Linked DNA regions of Arabidopsis thaliana. The protein of the gene in region 2 interacts with the protein of the main gene of each other region in a biochemical or structural test. Each region holds a gene or a part of one and is shown on either strand. Other genes may lie near its edges.

The links. Proteins that work in one complex are often made in the same cells at the same time.
Region 1: the proteins of AT4G12780 (region 2) and AT1G31440 form a complex in vitro, tested with the Arabidopsis thaliana proteins (one study listed by BioGRID).

The regions. Positions count from the first base shown.
Region 1 is NC_003070.9:11,256,301-11,260,751, forward strand, and holds the start of AT1G31440 (SH3 domain-containing protein), read right to left. Parts: upstream 2,515-4,451; 5' UTR 2,180-2,514; coding exon 2,120-2,179; intron 1,786-2,119; coding exon 1,672-1,785; intron 1,587-1,671; coding exon 1,517-1,586; intron 1,444-1,516; coding exon 1,295-1,443; intron 1,193-1,294; coding exon 1,091-1,192; intron 1,010-1,090; coding exon 809-1,009; intron 736-808; coding exon 673-735; intron 589-672; coding exon 232-588; intron 145-231; coding exon 70-144; intron 1-69. Other genes in the region: AT1G31450 (Eukaryotic aspartyl protease family protein), read right to left, coding at 3,572-4,451. UniProt on the Arabidopsis thaliana protein: Lipid binding protein bound strongly to phosphatidic acid, phosphatidylinositol-4-phosphate and phosphatidylinositol-4,5-bisphosphate. Binds actin in vitro. Involved in trafficking and modification of clathrin-coated vesicles.
Region 2 is NC_003075.7:7,510,216-7,514,666, forward strand, and holds the start of AT4G12780 (Chaperone DnaJ-domain superfamily protein), read left to right. Parts: upstream 1-1,791; 5' UTR 1,792-1,984; coding exon 1,985-2,610; intron 2,611-3,543; coding exon 3,544-4,451. Other genes in the region: AT4G12770 (Chaperone DnaJ-domain superfamily protein), read right to left, coding at 580-1,193. UniProt on the Arabidopsis thaliana protein: Promotes uncoating of clathrin-coated vesicles. May interact directly with clathrin.

The DNA of each region.
Region 1 (4,451 bases), on a different chromosome or scaffold from region 2:
AACAAGATTGTTAAATCATTTTTTTTCACTGTTTTGTATGTATTGTTGAAAGGGTGTGGCAGGAAATACCTGTCGCACAATTACATAATCATCGACAGCGAGACTGAGTTCCCCTGGGGCTTGAGCATCAAACGGGTGCACAACCTGTTGAAACAAGAAAACATTAACTCTTGTTCCTCAGGATTTGTATAATCACACTCTAACCAAGTTAAGTATTTTGAAAGGTATTACCTTTGCAAGAAAGTAGGAATCATTCTGGCTGAGAAGTTGATGATTGTGATGATCATCAGACCCATTGGACTTCTTGATCTCTTCCTGTGGACTAGACTTAATTTCTTTCTGATGATTGGATTTGGTTTCTTCTTGTGGACTGGACTTCATTTCGTCCTTGGGACTAGGTTTGGTTACTTCTTGGGGATTAGACTTGATTTCTTCTCGACGACTTGCTTTGATCTTTCCCAAGGGATTTGATTTGATCTCTCCTGAGGAATTTGAATTCGGTTCTTGTTGGGGAAGAGAAGCACTATCCTCTATATGTAAAGGTAGTGACTTTGGTGATGATCCTATAGCTTCTTCCTCAGCAATCATCTGAATAAGAAGAAGGCAACCAGCTCACGTAACTAAGTGTATGTAGTCATTATCTGAAGTATATAAATAGAGAAAGTTACTGACCTCGGAATGTAGCTTGTCGAGGATATCAAGAGCATTACGATGATATGATCTTTCAGCTTCAACCTGCGTTGGTAATTTCATTTCATATCCAATCCAGGGACATGTAAACAATCATGAGCTTTGAAAGGAGATTTACCAGAGCACGGAGGCGCTGAGAAGTTACGTTCTGCTGCTGATCGTCGACTTCCAACATGGCCTTAGTAGCTTCTTTACCAAGAGTTTTCATACTTGATTTGAGCTCAGCCAATCTCGATTCAGAATTCTTAAGTTTTATGTAGGCTTCTTCAGAAATATCAGATTCCTTCAACTTTGATCTTCTCCTCAGTACATCAGTTGCCTGTTAATCGAAAGCTTTAAATGCCGCAAGAAATTCAAGGTGCCTCAAAACAAACAAAAGAGAAGTTCAACAAGACTTTACCTGAGCTTCGACTTCTTGTCTCAGCCTGTCATAGTGATTCACCAAATGCCGAGCATCCTCCAAAGGCGCACTATATATCATTGTACGAATTGGCTCACAAACCTACACAAATCAAATTACTGTAACTACACTCACAAAGTTCTCTTGACAGACCCTGCCCGGTAAAGATTAGAGAATAATATATAAACGTTCCAAGAAATTTACCTGCTCACTAAGAACTCCGAGGAGAGTTTCCCTCTCGCCTTCCACCGACTTGTAAGAGGTCCCAAAGTGATGTGCGACTCTTGATAGAGGAGTATTAGCATCAGGATTCTCATCTCCATATTTCTTGAAATCTTCAGCAAACTTCAACCCTATGGACATACACCATTACAAATGTGATTCCAAGAAGCACTATATGAGATGAAGTAGGAAACAAGAACATACCTATCTCAACAACCTTTGTGCCAGTCGCAATGAAACCTTCGAGTCCACGAACAATGTTCCTTTGCAAACGCTATGAACAGAACAACTTTGATAAGCCAAAACTAAAGAGATTATTATCCGAGAAAGCCTCAACAAAAAACCTAAAATATCTTTACCTTAGCAGCTTTAGTAGAGCTATAAAGATCTTGAAGTTTCTGATGACAATGAAGCTCTTCTTCATCAACAACAACAGCATCAGCATTAACATGCCCTAAATGCTTCAAAACCGCCTGCACAAAAACCAGATTATTTTTTTAATACAAATAAAGAAACCTACACAAATAACACAATCTTGTCTGATATTATTAGAAGGTAATCTAAACCTAAAATCAAAACAAAAAAGGCAAAATCTATGTCTAAAACAAGAAAAAAGTCCCATACTTTTCACCTAACTATAACCAATTCATACCTCAACAATCCTATCTACCCCCAAGACTATAAATTAACCATCAACCACTTCAAAGATTCCACCTTTATTAGAAATCCATACAACAAATTCTTCTCAGTAACCAGACATATAAATCTAAGAACACAGAAATCTATTACAAGCAGAAAGAAACCCACTTGCTGTTGCCTCGCGACTTGCTCTCTGAGCTTCGCAGCTTGCTTTCTTATAGCTTCCATGGCTTTCACCAAAAACAAATCAGACTCAAGTCGGTTTCTTCAGTACCAAACCAATAGATCGAGAGGTTTCGCCAAAAGGGTAGTTGAAATTACTTAATTAGAAGAAGCAGAGAGATTAAAGGTTGAGTTTTTTTGCAATAGATCTTTAACTCTCTTCTTTACAGGTAAGGTAACAGTCTGAGAAACAAAAAGGTAACGACAATGGAATGAATTAGTGGAGAAAGTTGAAGAAGCTAACTCCTTTGGTTTCAACACTTTCTTTTTGAGTGGTCTTCAATTTTGTACTTCTTTAACTTTATTTTTATTTTTAATGATGTTTCATTTTTATATTTTTCCTTAATCGTCTTTAATTAACGAAAGCTTATTATTCTGTCTATTTTAATGGCAATTATTTATTGGACCGCATGTCAAAAAATATTATTATCTTCATTTCTTTGTTTATTTGGCGAATATCGTTTTCAACATGAGGTTATCATATAACTTTCATAACAATAAAATAAATTTAAGACTTATATAATTAGTCAATTGCTGTCAAAATAAATTAAAATACTAGTCAATTTCTTCGGTCACTTTTTTGGACTGTAACTGATATGGTTAGGGCCGGGCAAAATATTCGTTCGATCCGCTTCGATTCGGTATTTGATTTGATTTGATTCGAAAAATCCAAATATCCGTAAGATTTTGGACCAAAACAAATAGGAAAATGTAGTATTCGTAAAAACCGAATCAAATAACGAATATTGTTTTTTAAAAAATCGAATATCCACTTCGATCCGTATCTTTTTATATATATTAAAAATATAGTTATATCTATATATAGATATCATAAATAGTTTGTGTATTGTTGCCATTTTATGTTTTTATGTTAAGATATTTGTTTGTTCATTTTTTTTTCATGTTATGTTTTGATCAATGGCATCAAAAACTATAGGTTTTAGTTTTTGGAATTAGTTTGATAACATTTTGCTGACCGATGATACCAACAACGGTTGTGTTTGGTATTTAAAACTTATTTTGAAAGCATGTTTAATAAAAACTTTGAATATCTGATATGGTTATATAGTATACAAATTTTTTTTAATATTTAAATGTATCAAAGCGGATATCCGCAAATATCACAAAAAATTCCGGATATTCGAAATTCCGGATATCCGGAAATTTTCGAAGCAAAGCAAATCACAAAATCAAGTATTCGTTAAAACGAATCGAATAACAAATATCACAATTTTTCCGGATATCTGCTTCGTGCCTAGACCTAAATATGGCTATTTGATTTTAGGAAGAAATTTAATTTAGTAAGTAGAGATATTATTTATACTGAATATTCATTACATTGCAATAATTATGAATATCAGATAATAAAAACGCTAGCTCTTAACGGCAACGTTTGCTTCATAAGTTCCCGGAGCAATCCATGCGTTGAAACGATACCGTTTTGGTCTCCAAGTCATAGCCAACAAGGAAATCCATTTGAACCATGTTTCCGTATATAGCAACTTCAGTTGTCGGAATCATACTCAAGCACACTGTATCTTCATTTAGTTTCACGAACGCGTTTATCGGACTCAGCTTCACGTCGGCGTTCGTGAAATGCATTGTTATCGCCGGCAAACCGATCTCTTTGTCTCCGGATTTGAAACAATGTGTTAAAAGCCCTTGTGGATCACTCACACGCTTTGCTCCGGTTACTGATTCTTCCACGGCCGTACCAAAGTCATCGTAAAATCCTGAGTCGAGAAGGGTAAGGGTTGTACCGGAATCGATTATGATGTTTCCGGTTCTCTTTGATGATTTCCCGTTTAATCCGTATCCTCCTCCGGTGTATGGAAGCTTGGTTTTGCCGACGGTGACTGCTTCGAGTGTCAAGAAATAGTAAGTCTCGGGGTCTTTTTGGATTAAGGGTGTAGTGAGCGTAGCGGAGTCTTTGCTTGGATTGGAAGGTATCGAGTTGGTTCCTAGGTTTATGACGCTTGTGCCGTTTGTTGTAGCTGCCGTGTGTGACAAGCAATACGAGAATTTCTTCCCTATGGAAGAACCAAGCTGGGAAACTAACGATAATGGACCACCTCCGAGTCCGATGATTCCGGATCCGGTTTCTTCGAATGTACCACCGTTGTTGTAGCCGCAACCAAAGACAGTACCGGGGAAAGAAACAGAGGAGCCAGAGGAAGAATCAATGGAGATTGTTTCGGTCGCAACATCTCCTTTGGTAAACGAATTATCTCCATAAGAGTAACGGTATTTGCAGATGTCTTTAGATTCGTCGCATCCT
Region 2 (4,451 bases):
TAAAGAACAATGACCCATTTGTAGTCATATGAAATGAAATTTTGCATATGAATGACCCTAACAGCAGATTAAAGGTTGAAGATTTCTCTTGTAAGTTCTACAAAGTACACATAAGAGAACCTTGTATGCTAGCAAAAAGCTCTTCAGTAAGACCTAATATAGTTCATGCTACATGTCATCATGTAATTGTTATGGCTCTAAGTTCTAGACCCTTGAGTAAACTCTCAAGTCAGTTTTAAGGAGAAACAAATTTGAAGAGCAATGTCATTCAAAATTGGATATGAATGACAAGCAAAAGGTTGAAGCTTTTGAGAGCAATATAAAAAAAACTTGTAGACTTGTAGTATCCAAGTAAACAGCTATCCATAAGCATTATACAGTTCAAGCAAACCAAAATCTAAGCTTCATACCCTTAACTAAAATCACGCTAGCAAGCTTTCAAATTTGAAGAGAACAGCTTCCATAAGCACCAAATGCTACTACATTTCATGCTCTAAGCTCTATACCGTTTATTCATTTCATGCAAGAAAGCTCCCTAGCTAGTAACCATAAACAGAAGAAGAGTGAATGAATTCTTACCGTTTAGCTGGAGGAGAGCTAGTGCGACCAAACCCGGGAATTAAATCATCAAAAATGGAACTACCCTTCTCCTCTCGGTCACTCTCTTTCTTCCCCAAATTGTTTCCCATGAGATCATCGAAAGGAGAACTGTTCTGTTTCCTGTGCTTCGTAGGAGAAGATGAGATAGAAGAGAAAACATTCTCAAACCTAGCTGACTGAGAAGAAGTGGAAGGGATTTTGAGCTCAGGAATAGACTCAAACACATCCTCATCATCATACACAGGCTTATCATAAACCGGCATAGACGACGCTGATTTGGATTTGGGTTCCTTGAACATAACATCATAGTCAAAAGCAGGAGCAGATGGAGAACGAGAATCACCAGAAGATCCATACTTTGGTGGTGGTCCGCTAAACACATCTCTGAAGAGAAGATCATCACCATCTCGACCAAGATCGTCAAACACCGGCAAAGAATCCGACTTTTTACCAGCGGCAGAGGCGAAGCTATAAGAAGAAGCGAAAGTGTTGAAATCAGCGGCAGAAGAGTTTGATTGAGAAGCCATGGGCGCAGATTTGCCTTGAGGTTTCAATCCGAAGTCTCTCGCTAACAATCCTGTGAAATCATCCATTGGATTCCTTTAAATTCTCTAGCTCCGAATTCGAAAAGCTTTAGATTTTGCCCACTAGAAATGAAGAAGAGGTTATCTTCAGATCTGAGTCGCCATTAACGAATCGGATCAAAGCATTTGATTTTTTAAAAAGCTCTTTTTTCTTCGTTTTCCGACTTGTTTATGGTTTCTTCTCCGACTCGTACATGTTTCCCAGTCTTCATAATTTCTTCATTATTGCTAAATGGGTCCTAAAGTTTCAGAAATAACAAATTTGGTCTCCAAAATCTTAAAAAAATAAAAAAAGTAATTCCTTAGAGTTGATCCTCAATATATATAAACTTATAATTATATTAATTACCAAAATACAATTATATGTTTAACATTTTCTATAGCAATGAAACTCTTAGAATTATCAAAATATGTAGAAAATATTTGTCAATGTACAATTTTGTTTTTTTTGTGAATAAATTTTGGTATTTTACATTGGTTCAAAACCAAAATGAATAAATCCAAAACTCTAGCCAAAGTATCACCGAATTTATAAGACTTGGGGGACCCAAATTGAAAACTCTGAAACTTTAGGACCCATTTAGCAAAAACGAAGAAATTATGAAGACACCCAGTCGGAGAAGAAACCAGAGACAAGTTGGGAAAACGAAGAAAGAAAAAAAGAGAGCTTTTTTAAAAATCAAATGCTTTGATCCGATTCGTTAATGGCGACTCAGATCTGAAGATAATCTCTTCTTCATTTCTGGTGGGCAAAATCTAAAGCTTTTCGAATTCGGAGCTAGAGAATTTAAAGGAATCCAATGGATGATTTCACAGGATTGTTAGCGAGAGACTTCGGATTGAAACCTCAGGGAAAATCAGCTCCCATGGCGTCTCAATCGAACTCTTCTGCCGCTGATTTCAACACTTTCGCTTCTTCTTATAGCTTCGCCACCGCCGCCGGTAAAAAGTCCGATTCTTTGCCGGTGTTTGACGATCCTGGTCGAGATGGTGATGATCTTCTCTTCAAAGATGTGTTTAGTGGACCACCACCACCAAAGTACGGATCTTCTTCTGGTGATTCACGTTCTCCATCTGCTCCTGCTTTTGACTATGATGCTATGTTCAAGGAACCCAAATCCAAATCAGCGTCGTCTATGCCGGTTTATGACAAGCCTGTGTATGATGATGAGGATGTGTTTGAGTCTATTCCTGAGCTCAAAATCCCTTCCACTTCTTCTCAGTCAGCTAGGTTTGAGAATGTTTTCTCTTCTATCTCATCTTCTCCTACGAAGCACAGGAAACAGAACAGTTCTCCTTTCGATGATCTCATGGGAAACAATTTGGGGAAGAAAGGGGCAGATAGTGACCGAGAGGAGAAGGGTAGTTCCATTTTTGATGATTTGATTCCTGGGTTTGGTCGCACTAGCTCTCCTCCATCTAAGCGGTAATATTCATTCACTAGTTGCTTTTTCTTTATCTGTGGTTACTAGTTAGGGTCACTCACTGCCATTTAAATTTGAGAGCTTGCTTGCGTGAAATGACTCTTTGAATTGTAGAGCTTAGAGTATGAAATGTAGCATTTAGTACTTATGGAGAACTGTTTCCTTGTATGTAGAGCTGTTTGATTCCCTGGTTTCGATATGTTATTTACTATGTACCTTCATCTGTGGTTACTGGTTAGGGTCATTGCTCTTCAAATTTTAGAGCTTGCTTGCGTGGCATGAGTCATGGCTCTTCAAACGTACATAATGATGAAGTTGATATTAGTGATTATGGAGCTTGGTTGGTCACAGAGCTTGGATATTGGTTCTTTTATGAATACTCTCTAAAACTTGAGTGAGAAATCTGGAAAAAAAAACTTTAGAAACTTCAAGATTCATGTCATTCATATGCACAATCTCATTTTTGATCTGTGGCTACGGTCATTGCCTTAATAATTAGTTTCTCCTAGACCTGTGGTTACTAGTTAGGGTTGCTCCTGTCACCTTCTCTCTTTAAATTTGAGAGCTTGCTTGTGTGAAATGACTCAAAGGGTATAGAGCTTAGAGACATCATGCTTTCATAATTGTAGTGCCTTTATCTCTGGCTTTGTAGCATGCACTCTATTCAGTGTCTTTATATCCTGACATTGCTCTTCAAATTTGTTTCCCCAGACCTGTCTTAAGAGCTTGCTCAAGGGTATAAAGCTTAGAGCCATCACGCCTTACATAATCATAATGCAATGTAGCATGAACTATATTTATTAGTGCTTCAATTTGCTTGCATACTATACAGATTTCTCTTATGCGTAGTTTTCTAACTTAATTTCATTTTGATTTTTGTTGGTATAGGCATAACTTGTTTACCAATTGATTGATACTCTACTCTTTTTGTGCAGGACAACTTCAGAGACAACAAATCAATCCGAGAAAGCTCCATATCGAACTGCCGAGACATCTTCCAATGTGGAAGAAGACCCGTTTGTAGTCTTGGAGGAGTCTGAATCAACCCCTAGAGAACCCTCCCGTACTGATCCATTGGACGATATTGGTAAATTCAACAGCAGAAAAACTGATCATTCATCTGTCCACGGAGGAGTATTTGTTGATATTGACCCTCTTGATAATCTAGGAAAACCAGGGCCGGATATGAATAGTAAAGGGAAGAGTCATTTAAGACCACCAGGAAACATCAGTGGCTCCCAGTCACCACCAGTAGAAAGCCCTGGGAGTTACCATTCTAAGAAAGTTTCATTTGAAGATTTTTTAGAGCCACATAATATGAGTACTCCACCACCTACCAATTCAAATGGAAGTTTCGAGTCGTCTGATGATGTGTGGCTTACTGTATCCGAGATCCCCCTCTTTACGCAACCTACGAGTGCTCCGCCACCTACGAGACCTCCACCACCAAGACCTACACGTCCTATTAAAAAGAAGGTTAATGAGCCTTCTATACCGACGTCTGCTTACCACTCACACGTTCCTAGCTCAGGAAGAGCTTCTGTAAATAGCCCGACAGCATCTCAAATGGATGAACTCGACGATTTTTCTATTGGCAGAAATCAGACCGCTGCGAATGGATATCCTGATCCTTCCTCTGGTGAAGATTCAGATGTTTTTTCTACTGCCGCTGCATCAGCTGCTGCCATGAAGGATGCCATGGATAAAGCAGAAGCAAAGTTTAGGCATGCTAAGGAAAGGAGAGAGAAAGAAAATTTGAAAGCAAGTAGAAGTAGAGAAGGAGATCACACAGAAAATTATGATTCTCGTGAAAGGGAACTTAGAGAAAAGCAAGTGAGATTGG